Linked DNA regions of Caenorhabditis elegans. The protein of the gene in region 3 binds, or shares a complex with, the protein of the main gene of each other region. Each region holds a gene or a part of one and is shown on either strand. Other genes may lie near its edges. The genes, in order: smc-4, mix-1 and kle-2.

The links.
Region 1: kle-2 (region 3) and smc-4 share a complex: the UniProt entries of both Caenorhabditis elegans proteins name them as parts of the condensin II complex.
Region 2: kle-2 (region 3) and mix-1 share a complex: the UniProt entries of both Caenorhabditis elegans proteins name them as parts of the condensin II complex.

The regions. Positions count from the first base shown.
Region 1 is NC_003281.10:4,585,291-4,593,560, forward strand, and holds smc-4 (Structural maintenance of chromosomes protein 4), read left to right. Parts: upstream 1-2,210; 5' UTR 2,211-2,215; coding exon 2,216-2,365; intron 2,366-2,418; coding exon 2,419-2,484; intron 2,485-2,528; coding exon 2,529-2,843; intron 2,844-2,891; coding exon 2,892-3,065; intron 3,066-3,106; coding exon 3,107-3,399; intron 3,400-3,445; coding exon 3,446-4,190; intron 4,191-4,238; coding exon 4,239-4,496; intron 4,497-4,541; coding exon 4,542-4,976; intron 4,977-5,025; coding exon 5,026-5,233; intron 5,234-5,282; coding exon 5,283-5,788; intron 5,789-5,836; coding exon 5,837-6,355; intron 6,356-6,408; coding exon 6,409-6,632; intron 6,633-6,676; coding exon 6,677-7,215; intron 7,216-7,264; coding exon 7,265-7,356; intron 7,357-7,404; coding exon 7,405-7,530; 3' UTR 7,531-7,834; downstream 7,835-8,270. Other genes in the region: F35G12.5 (SPK domain-containing protein), read left to right, coding at 40-167, 217-341, 389-524, 575-700, 751-873, 919-1,014, 1,062-1,184; F35G12.7 (Divalent-cation tolerance protein CutA), read right to left, coding at 1,462-1,584, 1,629-1,716, 1,765-1,824, 1,869-1,945; erh-2 (Enhancer of rudimentary homolog 2), read left to right, coding at 7,943-8,042, 8,087-8,211, 8,259-8,270. UniProt on the Caenorhabditis elegans protein: Central component of the condensin I complex, a complex required for conversion of interphase chromatin into mitotic-like condense chromosomes. The condensin I complex introduces positive supercoils into relaxed DNA in the presence of type I topoisomerases.
Region 2 is NC_003280.10:10,822,423-10,827,557, forward strand, and holds the start of mix-1 (Mitotic chromosome and X-chromosome-associated protein mix-1), read left to right. Parts: upstream 1-1,823; 5' UTR 1,824-1,961; coding exon 1,962-2,055; intron 2,056-2,141; coding exon 2,142-2,225; intron 2,226-2,384; coding exon 2,385-3,316; intron 3,317-3,367; coding exon 3,368-3,519; intron 3,520-3,979; coding exon 3,980-4,085; intron 4,086-4,134; coding exon 4,135-4,274; intron 4,275-5,073; coding exon 5,074-5,135. Other genes in the region: R06F6.12 (uncharacterized protein), read right to left, coding at 39-413, 587-693, 746-834, 880-1,322, 1,368-1,545, 1,596-1,657. UniProt on the Caenorhabditis elegans protein: Essential protein required for both chromosome condensation and segregation and X-chromosome dosage compensation depending on its binding partners.
Region 3 is NC_003281.10:7,939,894-7,946,485, forward strand, and holds kle-2 (Condensin-2 complex subunit kle-2), read left to right. Parts: upstream 1-1,823; 5' UTR 1,824-1,829; coding exon 1,830-1,931; intron 1,932-2,005; coding exon 2,006-2,755; intron 2,756-2,804; coding exon 2,805-3,330; intron 3,331-3,663; coding exon 3,664-4,044; intron 4,045-4,094; coding exon 4,095-4,349; intron 4,350-4,443; coding exon 4,444-4,628; intron 4,629-5,147; coding exon 5,148-5,414; 3' UTR 5,415-5,700; downstream 5,701-6,592. Other genes in the region: C29E4.10 (Putative galactocerebrosidase), read left to right, coding at 1-160, 440-537, 586-833, 877-963; C29E4.12 (Protein FMC1 homolog), read left to right, coding at 1,261-1,478, 1,533-1,641; gsto-1 (Glutathione transferase omega-1), read right to left, coding at 5,702-5,961, 6,012-6,138. UniProt on the Caenorhabditis elegans protein: Regulatory subunit of the condensin II complex, a complex that seems to play a role in prophase chromosome condensation and in chromosome segregation in mitosis and in meiosis.

The DNA.
Region 1 (8,270 bases), 3.4 Mb from region 3:
TTTCTTTTTGAGAATTGTTTATTATTTCTTTCTTTTCAGATGAAAATCACAATGTCCTGTTCAAGTTTGCGCCGATTGATCAGGACTTTGCGCATTCTTCGACAAACCTGAGCACGCCATCACCATTGGAGGAAGAATCGGCACGCGAAAACAATCACGAGGCTCAGGTAGAATGCCGAAGTTTTGGAAAATTAAAACCAAACGGGTTACCTTCAGGAATTGGATATAACTGAAAGAATTGCTCGCATGAATCTCATAGGAGGGAGCGAGTTCCAAATGCAATATTCTTCTTTCCTTACAGCAGTGTCAACGAAACCTTCAACAGATGCTAGTTTGAAAAAGTATTTTATCAAGCACCTTATGCATTTTATTATTCGGTTTTCTGTAGGGAAGCAAGACGACTCGCTGAAATTTGGTGGGCAAAAAATTTGAGATTTTTTCCGCAAACCATGTACGTGCTGCAGAAACTTGATCAGAAAAATCCAGATGGGTTTAATTACACTGATTTTGAGGAAGAGGTTCAGGTAATAATTTAATCTTATTGTTAAACAAGGGAGAAATTTAGTACGTTTAGAAAGTGATCCCAAGGTCCTGGATACAGAACCATCATTCATTTACACTCTTGTCGCTGTTGAATGAAGAGAGCCTTTACGTGAAGTTCAACTTGATAATGCCCTCGGATTCTGAGAATATGAACAGAGTAAGCTATTATATTTTGATTGGTCAAGAAAGTAAATCAATATTTTTAAGGTGAAGGTCAACCAAGTAATTAAATTTCTCGGTTTCCATGAAATTGGAGACTGTGAGTTTTCTATGATCTATCAATATGTTAGTTCAAAGTCCGCTTCAGAATCTACATACAGCATCCACAAAGTGAGAGTTTTTTTAGTGGATTTCTTTTCAACTTCGAATTTTCAGTTCATGTGTGAAGACTTTCCGGGATGGGAGACACAATACAATAACGAAAAGAAAAGCATGGATAGGATCTTTGAGATAATTATTCAGGAGCAAAAAGTAAGAATGATTGAACATATATGAGAAAACATTTCAATGTTTTTCAGTTATTTTGGACGGAATATGATTATCATACATACAAACGCCATGCATACAAGATTGCTGTCCCGATGGTCTTCTCGCTTAACATTGTAGACAAAGCTGTTGGAGTTCGAAGTGATGCTCGCTAGCTAGTTAATGATAGCCCTGTCTTTCCCGTTCAACTCGATCTCTTTGAAAAAAATTCATTAAATCACATCAGAATCGCTCGAAAAAAAAATTTGAAGCTTTCAAGACAATCCCCAAAAAAGCATGCTCAAATCGTTATTTTGGAATCTTCAAATTTTCGGAGCATTTTTTCTTATTACGATGTTTTTTTCCTTAGCCAAATCTGTTTGTATGTATTTATCAGTTCCCGTTGATTTAATGTTTAGTTGGTAGAAATAAATATGAATAAAGTTTTAAGTTTCAATGTTTCGCAGTTGAAGAATTCGTAGAATCCACAATCCATCCTCCAAAATCGGGAGTTATTTTGTCAATGGCCAGTGTGAAGAAGCACGGAGTTTCAGCCGGATGAAGAGATCGAACACGCTGAAATTGAATGAAAATCTTAGTGATCCGAAATAAAAACATACAGCTGATAGCTCTTCGACTTTGCTTTCTACAGTTTTCAAGATCACGACATGCTCTTGATCTTCTTCAATTTTTCCTTGCCATTTGTATCTGAATATCTGGATTCTCGCACAGATTTAAAAAAGATAAAATACTTACACAGATGTGACTTCCGGAATAACATTGGCGCAAGCGGCTAATGCTTCAGTGACAGTTGTTCTGAAATGAAATTATGTTTTGGTAGACAGAAAACAAAAAAATACCTTGCCACAGTCATTGCAACTTCCTTACTCGGAGCTGTCACATACGCGACAACCATTTTTACAGCGGGTGTTGTCATTTTTATTTGAAAACTTATTTTATGTTGAAGCAATTCAGAAATGTTTAATTAATTACCGTACTTCATTCTAGCTCTCGTCGTATAATTAAATGTATGGGTCGCACTTGCGCGTCACGGTGTTTGCACACACTTGTATGCGCGCCAAAATTTTGTTCGAATTTCACCGCCAATAATTGTTTAGCCGCTGCTGTCCCACTTTTTGTTTTTGTTGGGAAATGTCTTTTTCATATTAAGCACTCAAATCCTAAAAATCAACGTATTTTAGGGTTGATGCCTCCGAAGACTTCGGCGGCGCCGCCACAATCAGACGAATCTGATTCTGATTTTGATGACGCTCCTGTTAAAAAGCCGCAGAAAAAGACAACGAAGCCTGTGAACCGACACAAGGAAGGATCAAAGGACCCGGAAGAAGAACTACAGGTATCCCTCTCAGAATATTTAAAAGCAGCAATAAAACTGAAATTTTTATTCAGAGAGCGGTAAATGAAAAATTTGATGGAAGCGACGGAGAGGACGACGACAGTGATCTTTTCTCATTGGTATGTTACTCTGTTTTTAATATTAAAGTCATTACATTTTACAGCAACTGCCATCGCGACCCGATTTCCTTACAAAACCGAATCGGGCGGATCGTTTGATGATTCGCAATGTTGAAGTGGACAATTTCAAGAGTTACTTCGGCAAGGCTTCCATTGGACCATTTCACAAAAGTTTCACATCAATTATCGGTCCAAATGGATCTGGAAAGTCTAATTTAATCGATTCGCTCTTATTCGTTTTCGGTTTCCGTGCTTCCAAAATTCGTTCTGCAAAAGTGTCAAATTTGATTCACAAAAGTGCTGGAAGAAATCCAGACAAATGCACAGTCACTATTCATTTTCAGCGGATCGTCGATATTGTAAGTGAATCAGAGAATCTAATAAAATATAAATTTGCTTTTTTTCAGCCTGGGCATTACGAAGTCGTCAAGGATTCTGAGTTCACAATCTCTAGAACTGCTTTTCAAAATAACTCAAGCTCATATGCTATCGATGGTCGACCGGCAACGAAGAATGAAGTTGAAGCACGCCTACGACGCGTTGACATTGATATTGAGCATAATCGTTTTCTAATTCTTCAGGTAAAAGTGACAATAAAACCGGTAATAAACATTTTTTTCAGGGAGAAGTCGAACAAATTGCAATGATGAAACCAGTGAAAACCACCAAAAGTGAAACTGGAATGGTTGAATATTTGGAGGATATTATCGGAACAAACCGACTCGAGCCCTTTGTTAAATTATTCCAGCGACGCGTCAATCGTCTTACTTGTGATCTTTCTCAACAAAGAATCGCTCGTGATCACGCCAGAAACAGCAAAGTAGCTATGGAGAATCCAGTTAGAGCTGCAATTGAGTTTCTGATGAAAGAAAACGAGGCTACAACGATTCATATGAAATTGGAGCAAAGAAGACGGTAGTTCTGAAATATTCCAGGTTAAAATAACATTTAACGTTTTAAGGCAACGATACCTAGATAAAATTGCTCCAAAACAAGCCGAACTTGACAAGATGAAAGAAGAAATGAAATCGATTGCTGAAACGCTGGATACCAACAAAAACGAATACAAACAATCTGAGGAAGCTCAGAAAGTTATGATTGAAGAGCGTTCGAAACTCGACAAAAACTTTGATAGTCTATCTAAGGAATTGAGCGACTTGGGCACTGAAGAGACTCGCAGGAAGGAGGCTTTGAAAAGGCATCAAGCTAATATTTCAAAGGCGGAAGCTGAGAAGGAAAAAGAGGTTAAAAAGCGATCAAATCTGGAAGCAGCACCCGAAAAGGCGGAGAGAAAAATCGCAAAATGTCAGGAAGAAGTGGAACAGTTGCTTGAAATAGAGAAAACAGCTAACGAGGAAGCCGACAAGAATCTTGATGAATTTGAAAAACGCTCTGAAGCGCCAAAAGAAGAACAAAAGAAGATTCAAGAGACTTGGGCGCAGAAGAGCAACGAATTTAACAAAGTTCGAGGTGAAGCAAGGATTGCACGGGAAGATTTCGAGGATTTAAAGAAGCTCGCGAATTCTGGAACGGATAAGCTTATCGAACTGAAGAAACGATTAGAATCTTCAGAAGAAAGTTATGCGAAAGAGAAGGATGAGTTAGATAAGCTGAAGCCGGAATTTGATTCTTGGAATGATAAGTTAAAACAACTGAGTACAGAATTGCCAACTCTTCGAAATACGGCAAGACAGAAGAATCAAGATGTAGGTTTTCAAAAAGCCTGATAAATTTAAATAAATCCTATTTTACAGTTGGCAAAAACGCGTGATCGTCTCGAAACTCTTCGCCAGCAAAACTCGTCTTGCTCAAGTTCGAATAAAGTTATTCAAGCCTTAATGAAGGAAAAAGAAGCTGGAAGAATTAAAAGTTTTCACGGTCGTCTTGGTGATCTCGGTGTCATTGATCCGAAATATGAGGGAGCGATTTGCACAAATTTCGGGGCCCGTCTCAACTATCTTATTGTAGGGAAAGAAGAAGATGCAAAAAATGTCATCAATTTTTTAGTTGCTGTAAGTTTTATAACCCTCATTTTCTAGGAATACATTGGTTTTCAGAATAAATTACCTCGACAAACTGTTCAGCCATTGGACAAAATTAAGTGTGATAAGAGAGATTTAGCTCCCAATCCGACGAACCCATTACCTGCTCCTCGTCTTATTGATCTGATTGATTGTGATCCTGTTCTTAAACCAGCATTCTATGATATGGTGCGTAGTGCAATTGTGGGCGATTCTACCCAGGAAGCTCAGCGAATGCATAGAATGCCCGCTTGTCGTGGTGTTACCGTGTGCACACTAGAAGGTTCTATGATTCACCCATCTGGATCATTCACAGGAGGTGGAAAAACAGTGAAAGGTCTCATTCTCACGGATAAAAATAAGATGGCTAAACAAGTGACACCTGAAGATAAAGCCGCTGAACGAGATTTAGCTGAAAAACTTGGAAAATTGAGAGATGAAGCTGATGAACTTAAAGGACAAGAGCATGAAGTAAGATATTAAAGGATAAAAATATAAAATATAACAAACCGATTTTTAGATGGACGGACAGCTAATCGAAGCACGTCGCAAAGTCGCTGAAATGAGTAATCGTTTGTCTATTGTGACTTCTTCAGTTCAATCTGCAGCTCCAGCAATTGAAACCCTCAAGAAAACGATCGCAAATCAAGAAAAAGAAGCAGCGAAAGTTAAGGTGGATGCGAAGACATTAGAAGATAAACAGAAGATTGTTGAGGAGCTCGAAAAAAGTAATTTTCCGTCATATCATCATGATTTGGGTAATATATTTCATTTCAGAACGAGATGAGTTGGGCGAAGAAGCTGCGAAAGTAAAAGCTCGTCAAGCTGAAATTCAGAGTAAGCTTGACGGAATCTTCAAGGAACTTGTACAATGTCATCGAGACGAAGCCAAAGAGTCTCTTCAGAAACGTCAAAAACTTGAGAAGGATATCGCCAAAGAAACTGCAAATATTTCCAATTCGGGCAGAAACATTGCAAAGTGCGATGAGAACATTTCCAGACACGATAAAGACATTGAGAAGATGAAGAAAAAGTGCGAAGAATTGATGGAGAAAGCAATCGATGATGAGGAAGTGAAATCGAAGAAAGAAACGGTTGAGCGCTTTGAAAAGCAAATCAAGAAGTTACAGACAAAAGGAGAGGAAATGACGAAGAAACAATCGGAATTGTCAGCTGCAGAGACGAAATTGGAGGGAGAATTGAAAAAGTGCAGTGAGGGAATAAAGGAGTTGAAGGAAAGTATGTTGGCAGATCGATTAAAGGTTGAGGATATTGAAAAGAAGGTTTGTTATTAATAAAAATCTATTAAATTAAATGTTCTTTTTTTACAGCTCGCTGCTTTGAAAGTTAATCGAATCCCACGATTCCAATTTCTCATCGAATCAAGTCGGCCAGAAGATCTCGAAATGCAAATCGATGATAAAATGCCGGTGGTTGATGAAAATCAGAGTCCAGAAGAAGTTGAACGACAAAAGAAGCATATGGCCTGCGTGATGAGTGACGCCGCGTACGCTCTCGAGTTCGAAATGCGACAGAAAGTGTTGGAAAACACTGAATCGTATGAGAATGTCGACGGAGAGGACCGGGTACCGGTCGAGCTTCTGTCCGACGAGAAAATCAACGAGATTTCGAGCCGAGACGCTGAAGAAATGCAAATGAAGCTGAAAGTGTGTGAACAACAAGTGGAAGCATTGAAAGCTAAAGTTGATATCTCATCGATTAAAGCTTATGTTGATAAGGTCAAGCAATACAATGAACAAGTGATCAAGTTGACAATAGCCACAGAAGTACATCGAAAACATAATCAAGAACTTCAACGAATCAAGCAGATGCGACTTGAAGAATTCCATGTAAGAAATCAGACGTTGATAGGTTTCTGATTAATTTTTAAAAAATATTTCAGTCTGCATTCGAATTCATTGGAAAACATTTGGTTGCCGTTTTCAAAATGCTAACTGACGGAGGAGATGCCAAATTGGAATACATTGATAAAGACGATCCATTCCGACAAGGAATCAGTTTTATGGTTCGCCCAGCGAAGAAAGCTTGGAAGCAAATTCAATTCCTTTCGGGTGGAGAGAAGACATTGTCCTCATTGGCTCTCATTTTTGCGCTCCACATGTTCAGGTACTAAATACTTTCTTTAATAATTATTATAATCCCTCGTTTAGACCTACTCCATTCTACGTTATGGACGAAATCGATGCTGCTCTCGACTATCGTAACGTTTCGATTATTGCCCAATACGTCCGACAAAAGACTGAAAACGCGCAGTTTATTATTATTTCTTTGAGAAATAATATGTTTGAACTCGCCAATCGTCTCGTTGGTATCTATAAAGTTGATGGGTGTACTCGTAATGTAGCCATTGATCCATTGAGAGTTTGTGAGATGGCGAAGCAAATTACGGACAGTTTGGGGCAGGCCACGTGTACTCTTCCTGATGAAGTAACTCAACGATTCAATGAGACAATGAGTCGGCAGAATAAGGAAATGATTGCACAAGAAAAACAATATCCGAACTTCCCATCATCAAATGAGATTTCAAAGGCCGAAAAGATTGTTAACGTTGAAGGACGTGTCAGGAAAGAATTGATTCAAACTACCCGAGATGTCACTTCAAGACCACAATCCAAAGCAACGACAAGTGGCGATGGAACTGAAAGACCGGCTAGTCGGTCAGCAAGTCGACCCGAATCTCGTATAAATCGTAAGACCAATGGCGTATTTATTATGAAAATGAAACAACTTATTTTTAGAAATGAAATATCCTGCTCCACGCCTTGTCGAAAGATCGTCGTCACAGAATGTTCGTAGCCCGAGAAAGGCACGAAACATAGAGGCCGATGAGGTTAGTTTCATTAAAAAATTTGAGACTCATTTTATTTCCCATTTTCAGACTACTCCACCTTCAAAGCGTTCAAATTCCGCAAGTACACCAAAACGATCTCCAATGAAACCGTTGACACCGTCGAGTAAAAAGAAGGAGAAGGCAATCGTTGATGACGATGATGATATGGAATAATTCATTCAAAAAAGTTCTATCCTCTTTTGTTTTGACGGGTATTAGTTCTCTGATCCCTCGACTCTTCCGTTTATTATTATTTTAAACTCGCGCAAATGATACTCATGTGCAATTCTTTAACCTCTCCCTGTTCAAGAAATCTCTCCCTTTTCCTTTTTATTTATTCTTATTCTCAATTATATTTAATTTGAGGGCCAAAGTTTGAGCCATTTTGCGTTGTATTTTTTTTTCGGCTCCAAACTGTAATTTAATGATATAATTGAGCTATGTGTCTTTTCGTTTGAAATAAGAACGTTTATCGGTGAAGCGTTGACTAGTATATCCCTCATGGTTAATCTGATTCAGATTTCCATTTTCACTATTTATTTTGTGGATTTTCACTGTAACTCGTGTTATGCATGTAATTTCAGATATGTCTACTTCTTCACATACCGTACTTCTGATTCAAACATCACCACGTCTTGATTCACGGACTTGGGGAGATTATGAGAGTGTAACTGACGCTCTTGATGGTAACCATTCCGTGAGAATTATTATGTTTAATGGAATTTTTCAGCTCTTTGCAAGATGTTTGAAGATTTCCTTTCCAAGAAATCAGCTGCTCCAGTCACATACGACGTGTCGCAAGTCTACGAGTTTCTCGATAAGCTCTCCGATGTTTCTATGATGATCTTCAATCGCGTATGTATTATTGATCTGCATATCCTCCCAAATCAATTCATTTTCAGGAAACCGGGCAA
Region 2 (5,135 bases), on a different chromosome or scaffold from region 3:
TAAATGAATCCATAAATTTCGAGTAAAAATGAAGAATATCAACTGCTTTGCTCATCAAGAACTATAATCTTCTCACGAGTACATGAATCACAAGCTGGTAGCCGAATAACAATGTACGATGGCTCCTTCTGGTAGACCTTCTTATCACAAATCGGGCAACAAAAGTTCGGAGTATGTACTAGATGTGGTCCGTCGACGACAGGAGCCAACTGATACGACTTTTTCAGAACTGGAGGGCACAGATCATCGTTGGCTGATCGCTTTTGAGCAGCATTTCGAACTGAAGCCATATCCGTCCTCCGGAGCAAGACGGGCGGAGCAACTTGTTGATACTCGTGATCACTTCGGTCTCGCTGGGGTACGAGCATCTGGTCGATGGTGGCGTACGCGAATTCTCCATTCATTAATTGGATCTGAAATTTCAAAGCTTTAAAAAATATACTTTATAGAAGTTTTATGAGCATTTTTCTTCGTTTTTTCTAGAAAAGCTCTGTTTTGATCCAAAAGTTGAAAATAATTACATTTTATCGGATCAAAACAGAGCTTATCTTGCCTAATTAAACAGAAAAAGTAAAGAGTTTCTCACCTTGTACTCCGAATCGCCTCGAACATATTTGACAACCGCATCTTGAAGACGACCATCAGCTGTCCGAATTTGAACGGTTTCTCCAATTATTGGGCTTCTTGTAGATTCTAAAATAATTTGGATAATTAAAATTAGTTCAAATAAGCTTCTGAAACTCACTTCCAGCTTCCAACTGTTCATGATGATGATGGTGATAACTTGTTGATGGAGCCTGATCGTTGTATGCAGAATCTTGAGCTTTTTCTTTTCTAAAAATAATAAAAATATAGTTAAAATTCTACGTGTTGACCTACATGGGCGGTAGAGCAAGTTGCACAAGTTGATGGACATTTTCAGTGCTTAAATTGTTTAAATCAATGTTCAAATTGGCGATTTCGGAGGGGGAAACATAGAATTGCTTCTGTTTTGATGTAATATTGACTCCACCATCATTTGTCAGAATAATATGCATTGCATTATCGATTATCTGACCATTCCCATCATATTCTTCCTCCGGCCCATTTCCATCACCTTCAAATTGATTTTCAATCATTTCGTGATGAACCATGTGATGATGTGAACCATCTTCTATGACAACTTCTTCATTGTGCTCTTGCTCGTTTTGTTTCGCCTGTCGTTGTTGACTAATCGCCACCACAATGTTCAGCTGCTCTTCGGTGAGATGATTAAGCTCAAAGCCTGCTTCTACATCGAAACCCGCTTCGTACATGTCTTCCTGCGTGATTTGAACCATATTCTGAAATATAAATATTCTTTCAATTCATCGAAAAGCTTGAAATACCATAAACTGTTGATCACCATCCTCCACAATCATATCTCCTTGTTCAAGATCTTCCGGCTGCTGCTGCTGCTGCTCAACAATTTCTTCTTCATGCTTAGCACTTTCAACTCGAAGTGGGGCCTGATCCTCGTGGAAAATATGATCTTCATCGGCAGGATATACACCTTCTGGGGAGGATCTGGAAATTCCATTTATTAATTTGAAAGAAAATGTGATTTTTATTCTTACCCAGGAATTTCTTCTTCACGGCCTGTTGTTGGGCTAGCAGGATTTTCTTTTTCGGAATCCATATCTGCAACGATTTTCGTTGTTTAATAAAAATTAAAAAATAAAAATTAATAAATGACTCTAAATTATAGCGAAGGAGAAAAAACAAAGGAGAAAAAAATTACAAAAATCACAAGGCAACTTTTGCGCGTCAAATCTCATACATTCCAGTCCGCAAACACTCTCACGCCACTCTGCACACTTCTCAAAAGACGCGCCAAAAAACATTCAAAGCTCATTCGGCTTTCGAAATAAACATTTTCTCAAACTCGTTATCGACTTATAACTTATTTTTGTTCAAAATCAATTCGACAGGGTGCGCTCATAATGCACATTAAATCCATCCATCTGGATGGCTTTAAATCGTACCAAAAGCACACCGATATTCTCGATTTTTCGCCGACTTTCAACGCAATCACCGGTGAGTATAGTTTTGTGCTGAAAACTAATAGTTTGAAAAACTTTAATTTCAGCATAAAATATAGTATAATAATTGTTTTATTTCAGGATACAATGGTAGTGGAAAATCCAATATTCTCGATTCGATCTGCTTCATTATGGGAATCAATAAGCTCGATAATATCAGAGCAAGTATGTGGCTCTTTCTCATCACAAAATTATTTTGTTGTCATAGTGATACTTACGCGCTTTCGGACTGAAAAAGCACAAGATCAGAGTAGCATAATATTTCTAGCAAAGATTTTTTAAATTGAAATTTAGAAAAAAAAATTAAGTCAAATATCATTCCAGAATCAATGCACGAGCTGATTTCCCATGGTGGAACAAAAGCGATCGTCCAAGTTCGCTTCGACAACACTGATAAAAGATGCTCCCCGTTCGGAATGGAACATCTCGACGAGATCGTCGTTCAGAGAATCATCACAGCTCAAGCAACTGGAAAAGGATGTGCAACGAGTTACACACTGAATGGGCATGCGGCCACAAATGGAAAAATGCAAGATTTCTTCCGTGGCGTCGGTTTGAACGTGAATAATCCACATTTTCTCATCATGCAAGGTCGTATTACTACGGTGCTAAACATGAAGCCGGAGGAAATCCTCGGAATGGTTGAGGAAGCAGCTGGAACAAAGATGTATGATCAGAAGAAGAAAGACGCGGAGAAAACAATGTTTTTAAAAGATGCAAAACTCAAAGAAGTTGATAGAATCTTCCAATCAAGTATTGATCCGAGAATGGTAAAGTTCCGTGAAGACAGAAAGAATATGGTGGAAGTGACTCGTCTCAAGAAACTCAAAGAGAACTTTTCCCGAAAATACGAGGCGTTTCAATACTTTCAAACATGTGAAGCGGTGAAAAAAAGTGCAAAAGAGATTGAAGATGCCAAAAAGGGAATTGAAGATCTCGGTGAAAAGTTTAATCAGCTTGATCTTGACTTGAAGAATAAGGAAGATGAGAAGAAAAAGATGGAAGAATCTCGAGATGATCAACATGAAGAGGCTGCACTTTCAGCGGCTCATCTTTCGAAACAATCTATAATGCTTCAGAAGGAGACTGTCAAAAATCAATTGGTTGAAACAATCAATAAACTCAAAAAGGAAGGTGAACAAATCAACAAAAGCTTGTCAAAAGATCGTGAAGTTCTCGACGCAAAACGAAAAGAACACGAAGATTCAAAGGCGGCTAACTCGAAAGATATTCAAAGTCAATCTGATGATGAAGCTGTAAGTTCGAGAAATTATTCTAAAAATAAAGTTAAAAAAAAACAATTTCAGCTCGTCACAAAATACCGTAATGACCTCGAATCCCTAACGAGAGGAACAATTGCTAATGACAAAGGAGAACATGTGTCGATTGAGAGTGAAATACAGTCTTGCAAGTCGACTGCGTCTCAAATGTCATCTGGGATTACTGCTGCGAAGAAACGGTAACTTTCCTGAGAATTGGAACAAAAAATCTAATTTTGTTTATGTCGATAAGAATAATGACAAAAATTTTGAGATATTTTAAGAAAAATCGAAAAACAAAAAGTTTCGTTTTTTCGCTTTTTGAAAACGTCAATGATAGTTTTTTTGCGGATACTTTCAATGAAATTATTCTGTCGTTTTCTCTTCAGTTTTCTGTTTAAAAAATTTTAAACCAGTTTTATACTATTTTTACATTGAAAACTGGTTTTAAACAATTTTTAAACAGAAAAATTAACATAAAACGATAAAAAATTGACTACAAACGATGTAATTTCATTGAAAAATTGCAAAAATTGAAAGAAAACACAACATCGAAAAAATAATGCATTAATTTGGAAATTCAGTAAATTTAATGGGACAAAAGAAGAAATGTACTTTTTTAAATAGGAATATCATTGAAAAATTGGCAATTTATTTCAGCGGTGAACGTCTACACAACCAAATTAAACATTTGGAAGGCGAAAAAGCTACTCTCTCAGCCAGAAGTAAATCTGACATTGGAAGTGCCGATAATTATCAAAAAGAGGTATCAGATATTTCAATTTTTTTTTCTCCGAAAACTTAAAAATATTCAGGTCGATGAGATCAATAAGCAACTTCAATTATTGGGTTTCAATATAGATGCTGATACGGAGAAACGAGAACACGCTGCAAAATTGCATGAGAGCATCACTAAGCTCAAGGATATGGATACGAGACTTCTGAATTCATACAAGTAAGGTTTTGTGTGAAAATTCATTTTAAAAGAGTTATACCGTTTCAAAATTTAAAAAAAAAAACCTATTTTCATAATAAAACCCGAATTTTGTCAATTTTTCAGTATCGCAGCGAGCGGAACTTGGTTTTTATTCAATTATCGCCTTTTTATTGCATATTTAAATATGAAAAAAAAAAAACATATATTTTTGTAGTATATTATGCGTTTTTTTTTCGTGAATTCAGGTGCATTTTCTGCACATTTTTGGTGAAATCGACCGAAAAGCCATCAACATTAACGAAAAAACGTGCAATAAAGAGTGATAATTTACTACGAACCAAGTTCCGGCCGTTATGACACTGAAAAGTTGGTAAAATTCGAGATATTAGCTTTAAAAAATAGTTTTCTTTCGGAATTTTGAGAAAACTTTTTTTAATTTTAAAACAGTTGTTTTTCAAAAATTAATGCTTTTTTTCAGCTAAAATTTCAAATTTCGCGAATTTTTTTTCGAGAGTTTCGGCATAATCAACTGAAAAAGCACCAAAATTTAGGAAAATTGCGTGATAAACTATCACAATATGCAATAAATTGTGGCTATTTAAAACCAAATTCCGGCCGTTACTACACTGAAAAGTTGGCAAAATTCAAGATCTTAGCTGAAAAAAATAATTTTTTTTAAATTTTGAACCGGCATAGCAAATTTTCAAAACGTCTCAATGATATTTTTGGTTTTTTTTTCAGACCAAAAAACAAAAAAAAACGAAAATTTAATTTGCAACATTGAAGTTTATTTTTTTAAACAAATTTTTCTTTCCAGGGATGGTCGATATGCATTGAACTACCAACGTCCTCCACTACATATCGATAAATTTGATGAAA
Region 3 (6,592 bases):
ACGACGACTTTGAAAATTATGAATTCGACGAGGAGCCAAAGTTTTGGATGCCACAAAAAGGATCATGGGTGGTACGAAATGGACGGGCGGTACAGAAAGTGACACGCCCATCAATTAGTTGGTGCACCTCACACATTCGAACTCCATATGCAGTTATGGCGTAAGAATTGATGACTTTGACCTATGAGGAACTACAGTATACCGTATTCCCTCTAATATTTTTACACCTCTTTTCTCAACTTTGGCAGCTCATATCTCAGTAGTAGTTTGTTCTATAGAAAAGTTGTCAACTGATAAAAATTTAGATAGATGTTTTTTCTGTAGTTTGTAGTTTGTTAATTATTTATATGTCCAAAAAGGAGATATGAGGTGTCAAAGTTGAGCAAAGGGGTGCAAAACTAATAGAGGAAATACGGTATACGGTATTCCTTCCATTTAGGTATCGAAAGAAGAATAGTATTCTAAACGCCGAGGTCAATATTCCAAAACACTCAACAGCTAAATCCATCATTCTAGGTATAAGGAGTAATTGTAGTGGTATGTAATTAGTGTTGTGATTCATATTAAAATCTATTACATTTTCAGGATGTGACATAGAAGTAATAAACTGTCGTGGAATATTTGTTGAGATTGAATTTTCAAATAAAAAAGTAACTATATTTTCCGATTTCGTTGACCGTTCAATAATTGCTGAATTCAAAGCACGAAGAAAAGTAGAATTTGGAAAGTTTTATAAATTCTCAATTCATTTACTGGACTCGCATCTCTTCATAAAATTCGGAAATCATCATGTGATGACTTCAGTGGAAATTCCAGAAGAACAATTAAATAAGGTTATTAAAATAATCAATTGAATTTCAAATATAATGTTTTCAGACAAATAATGACACTTTATTCGTGATTGGCACTGGAAATTTTGGCATCTCCGAATGGGATAATATTTCAACAGATTATTTTCACTGAGGCTGATTAATTACATTCAAAAAGTATTTAATATTGCTTGGGCATGTTTCTATTAAAATAAATGTACCATTTTATAATTTACCACATTATTGGAAAATGTCAAAATCAATTGCCACAAAAAACTAGATTCAAACTTCCGCGCAAATGGTACCGCAACGATGCTCCGCGTTTCGCTAAACAACGCGCGCCTCACGCGCGCAGTTTGAATTGAGAACGTTTTCCTGTTTTCTTTTTTTGTCTGAATTGTGTTATTGTGCTATTTATTATCCCTTTTTTGTACATTTTCAAAATTAAAGTATGGCCTCTGCTGTTGGAAAAGGAGTGACCGCTTTCAACACCATCAAAAACATCATTTCGGAACTGAAAAAGGTCGACAAAACATTCTCCCCGAATTCGGCACAATATAAATACCTCATGGAGCAAATGAAAGCCGACCAGGTTACAACAAGAAGATATTCAAAAGCCGAGAACGAGTCAGAGAGCGTTGCAAAACTCTATTTGAGCTATATTAAAGGGTTCGTTTGTTTTATGAGAATAAGAAAGTAATAATCAATATCCATTCATTTTAGAACCCGACAGCTTAATGAACTTCAAGAGAGATATAAGGGTGGCGAGAAGAGTGTTGAAGAGGCTGCTGCTATTGTTGGATTGAAACTTCCAGAACAAAAGAAACTTTAAAATACTTAAAATTGTTATTTCTTTCTCGAATAGATTAGATTCCTGTTTTCTTTTCAATCAAAATAAAATACTTCGTTTTTAAAATACTATTCAGGTTTTTTATAACTTCCTTATGGTTTTCGTACCATTCTATATCTTTTTTATAGTTAATCATCGCCAGAGCATTGGAATTGTTGTTTCAGGTACAAATGACTAGGAATGCTCCTCCAGGTCAAGAATCGACAGATTTAGCATGGCTCGTCACACCCGCAAAAGATCTTGTCGAGAACTTCTCAATCGACGTGTTGAAAGTAAGGATAATTTTTTTTCACGGTTGTATCTTTTCTTTTTCGGTAAATAAAATAAATAATTGCTCGACTTTCAGGCACTCGCCGGATACCTCGAGGTTATCAGACAAGAAAGTGAAGACACAGATAATCAGGTGGATGCAGCGACAACTTACAGATTGTTCGATTTTCAACGAGCATGCCGGATTATTCAAGGATCGTGTGCCGTATATGGTCGAAAAGTAGATCATGTCTATGAACTGACGATTTCAGTTGTGGATTTAGTCGAGAACAAAGGTCAAGATGATGGAAACACCGGCAGTAGACGAGGAGCTGGAAGACGGAAAAATTTTAATTTGGGATCGACGAATTACGACTTGGCTGATATCGACTCACTGAAACAGGAAGCTCTAGCAAATTTTGAGAAGACAGTAAAAGAAGAGAAAAAATCGATTGATGCAGTGAGAATGGTCGAGAATGCTGAAGTTATAGAGTCTCAATATGAGCGAAAAAGCTGTTTAGTAGCAAAGCCAACCCAGTTCATGTTCAAGCTCAATTACGGCCAGCTCAATCGTACTGATGAACAAATTTTGAATGCAAAATCTCGTCCTGATGTTATCGGAAAAGTAAAAGATTTTGAAATTAAAAAGTCGAAAGTTAAACACGATCAACAAATACTCTACTCCCATGATTGTTATCGTGGAAATTTAGACCAATTCACACTACCTGGTGCTCGTTGGATGCCAGATAATAAGGAATTGGCAGCTAATTTTGGTGTTGCTGATTTGGAAGTTGAGTTAGATTTGGAGCAAGAGCATGAGAAGATCAGTGCATATGGACCGTTTAAGGTAAGTGGTAATAATTCGATGAAACATTTTCAAAACTTGATTTCTTCAGGATCCTCTCTCTGGCCGTGAAGTTGTTCCACCTCCTCGTTGGTTCATAGAGCAAGAAGCAGTTCGTCAAAATCAAGAAATTCAATCTCGTGCCACATCGAGAGCCATCACAATTGCAGCTAAAACTCTTCGAGATTCTCAAGGCTTTGGATCTCAACCAACTCGTCTCTCACAACCATTTGTTGAACGACATCGACAGAGTAATCATTTGAATGATTTCTTGTCATTTGTGGAGGGAAGAGTTAATAAGAATCGCCCGAGCACTCATCTTACCACTGGCTTAGTTGATATGTTCGTTGATAACTTTGGATCTGTTATGCAAAACGATGAACCAAACACTAGTAGAAGACCTGATGAGAATTACGCGCCCATGGACTTTGATGATGATTTTGGTGGTGGAGGAGACGATGACGACGATGATTATATTCGAAATTTGTCCAGAAGGGATGAGAAGCGAGCACCGGCACCATGGGACGAGCTGGATAAAAATCATATTATTTGGTACACGGGAGACGAGAATCTGCCAGGTATTTGTTGAATTAATGGGATTCTTTCGGTATTTTTTAGATTATATATATATATGAGCCGTGGACCGCACCTCCGGCGCGGCCCCCGACTTCTGGAGCTGAAAACCAATTTTTCTGAAACTACCGTAATCATACAGTACTCCTACCGTAATCATACAGTACTCCTACCGTACCACCATTGTACCACTACAGTACCCCGACTATATCCCTACACTAACCCCAACTCACTATCCCTCCAGAAGCTAAAACTTCGCAGACTACAAAGACTACATAGACTACAAGCTATGGACAAACGGAATAAGCGCTTTATATATAGTAAATGATATATTTCAGTCGTTAGCAAGCCGGTAAAAAAGATCACGAAATTCCAACCAAAACCCGCTGAAATGTTGGCTAGGAAGCAACGACGTGAGGAAAAGATCAATAAGTCTCGACGAGACGAGTTCATGGAAACTCACGACTATCTGCAGGATTACTACTATTGGAGAAGTGCGGCTCGTATAAATCCGATTAAGGACTGGAAGATAGAATCACTTCGTACTGCTATTCTAGCCGAGAAGAAACGAAGAATCAAGGAAAAGACTGCAAAAATCCGAGAAGCTCGTATCCAGAATATGCAGAGAAAACGGACAGCTCGTGTGATACCCGTGGAGCAATTTGAACCGGTAACAGAGGATATTCCAACGTCTAATAGAAGAACCCTCGGAGCTGAATGTAAGAAATTTCAATTTTATGAAATTTAAACTGAATTATATTTTTTCCAGATGACGACGTAGTCGATGAAGATCTTGCTGCCGAAGTCGAGCTCTCAATGTTTGGAGGTGGGTTCGATGACGACGAAGAAGACGTGCGGCCACGTGGTGAACGGCCTCCTATGGCTCCAAACAACCTAGAATTCGATGCTCTTCAAACAGATTTTGATATTCCGCCTGCTGAATATGTTCCATTAAGATTCGAGGATATTGATGATGCCGAACTGAACAGTGTTATCAATTTACCTGGAAATTTGCTCATCGACAGTAAGTTATTTGCAAAATTTTATAATAAAATTTTAAAATTAATACTTTGAAATTGTACTCTCTCAAGTCTATCAAGTAAATTTTCTATTTACAGAAGCTTTACCATTGCTCAAGAAGTTTGCTGAAAATCGAACAGATCGCGAACAAATGGCTTACGAGATGGCTAAAGCATATGAAGATGTGGATGTTGCCGTGTCAACTCTACAAGAACATGTTGACAAATGGCATTCTCGAATGGAACCAATCCTCGAAGAAGGAGAAACTCGAAAAGAGTATGATGTATGTTTTAGAGTATTTAATCTTAAAGGTGGAGTAGTGCCAGTGGGGATTTTGTCTAAATACACTTATAGTGATTCAAAACAACCGAATATCATAATAAAACACTCCAAAAAGTTTTAGATTTTTCATAATTTCCGGTCAAAGTTTTGGCAAATTGCCAAAATTTTGAAAAATATGAGCTTTTGAGGTTATTTAAAGAAATGTCGTATGTTTCGACCCCTACAATGTTTTAATACAATTAATTTAAACAAAATTAAAACAATAAAAAATGTAATAAATTTTTTTGGTCGACTTCCAAACATATGAGTGGCAAAAACTGAGTAATTGCCAGTTTTTGACAGTAAATAAAAAAATTTTCAAAAGTTTTATCATGATATTTGGTCATTTTGGAACCAAAGGAGTGGTTTTTAACAATTTCCCCACTGGCGCTACTCCACCTTTAATATTCTGGTCAACCACAGTAATTTGAAAAGTCAAAATGTCTAAATGTTTGAATTTCTCAATTATAATAATTTTCAGGTTCACGCAGTTGGTCGTGCTGTCATTGGCCAATACGATATTGAAGGTGGCACGAAACGTTTACTAGATTTGGTTATGGATCGTCCATGGTACGAAATCAGTCGATACTTCCTTTCGTGCCTCTTTATGTGTAATGTCGGAAATGTCATGGTCAGCGAGGACATGGAACTGCCACTCGAGGAAAGAATCAACTCGATGAAAATCACACTACTCAAAAGAGATATGCATTGTGAAATGTTCAAGGAGGCTGGCGCTCTTGATGCCTAATTTATAATTATTGTTTTTTTTGCATTAAATCTCCCGAAAACCATCTTAATTTATTTAAACATTCCTCATTGTCTCTACTTGTATCTCGATTTCTGGCTATACTTTCATTTTACTGTATCAATTAATTAACTTCTAGATGCCAAGTATTTTTCTTCTGTTCGTTATGGTACTTTACTGACTGTACAATAACTTTTTTTCCGACGAATTACCACTATTTCTTTGATTGTTTTTTAATTACGTCCTTCATTTTTTATTCAATCTTAAAAATAAATCGACTGGTTTTAATATCAAAGGCCCAAATCATAATTCAATTCCTGGTGCGTGGCATATGCGTTCATGAATGCAGCGCCATGTTCCAAAGATTGGGTGACGGATTGAACAACATCTGAAGAAATCATTTTCTGGAACCATTTTGTCAATTTAGGATATTCTTCTTCTCCTGGGAATTCAATTGTTGGTAAATCGACAACTCCATCCAAACTAGCTGACCACCAAATTTTCTCAAAAAATGGAAATGATAAGTAGTCTGGATAACCTGGTTGAGATCCTGAATAGTTTGAATTTGGTCAAAAAATTGTATCGATTAATTGAACTCACCAGCATAAAAATCATTGGCCAAGAGATTTTCAGCTTGTTTCAAAACTTCAAAAACTTTTCGCTGCTTTTCATCTTTCAAAGTTCGGTCTCGCATGACGGCGAAGAGCAATGGAACTGCATGGGCTACCTGAATTGCTTATTTAAAACAAAATAGTTTAGAAAATAGAAAAATTCAAGATCATATTTGAATTTCCTCCAAAATGAATAGCCACGCCCACTCTCAAACCAATCAGAGTTTTGGACTCCAAACACTCATCTGATTGGTTGAAAAATGGGCGGAGCGAATAACTGATTTTTTATATTAGAGGAAGTTCAAAAAGGGGATTAGAAACTATGTATGTTTCCTTCCATTTTTAAAGGTATTGGTATCGCTGCGCCTTCAAAACAACTGTAGAGACGTGCAGATCTTTTTTTTTATTTTAAAAGTTTTAGTTAAAGTTCTGGTAAATTGGCAAATTTCGAATAATGTGCTTTTAGTAATTTCGAGCATTTCGGAAAGTGAAATTTAGAACTCGTATAAAACAATCATTTTTTGGACGACTTCCAAAATTAGGATAGAAGGAAACTAATGGTAAATAATT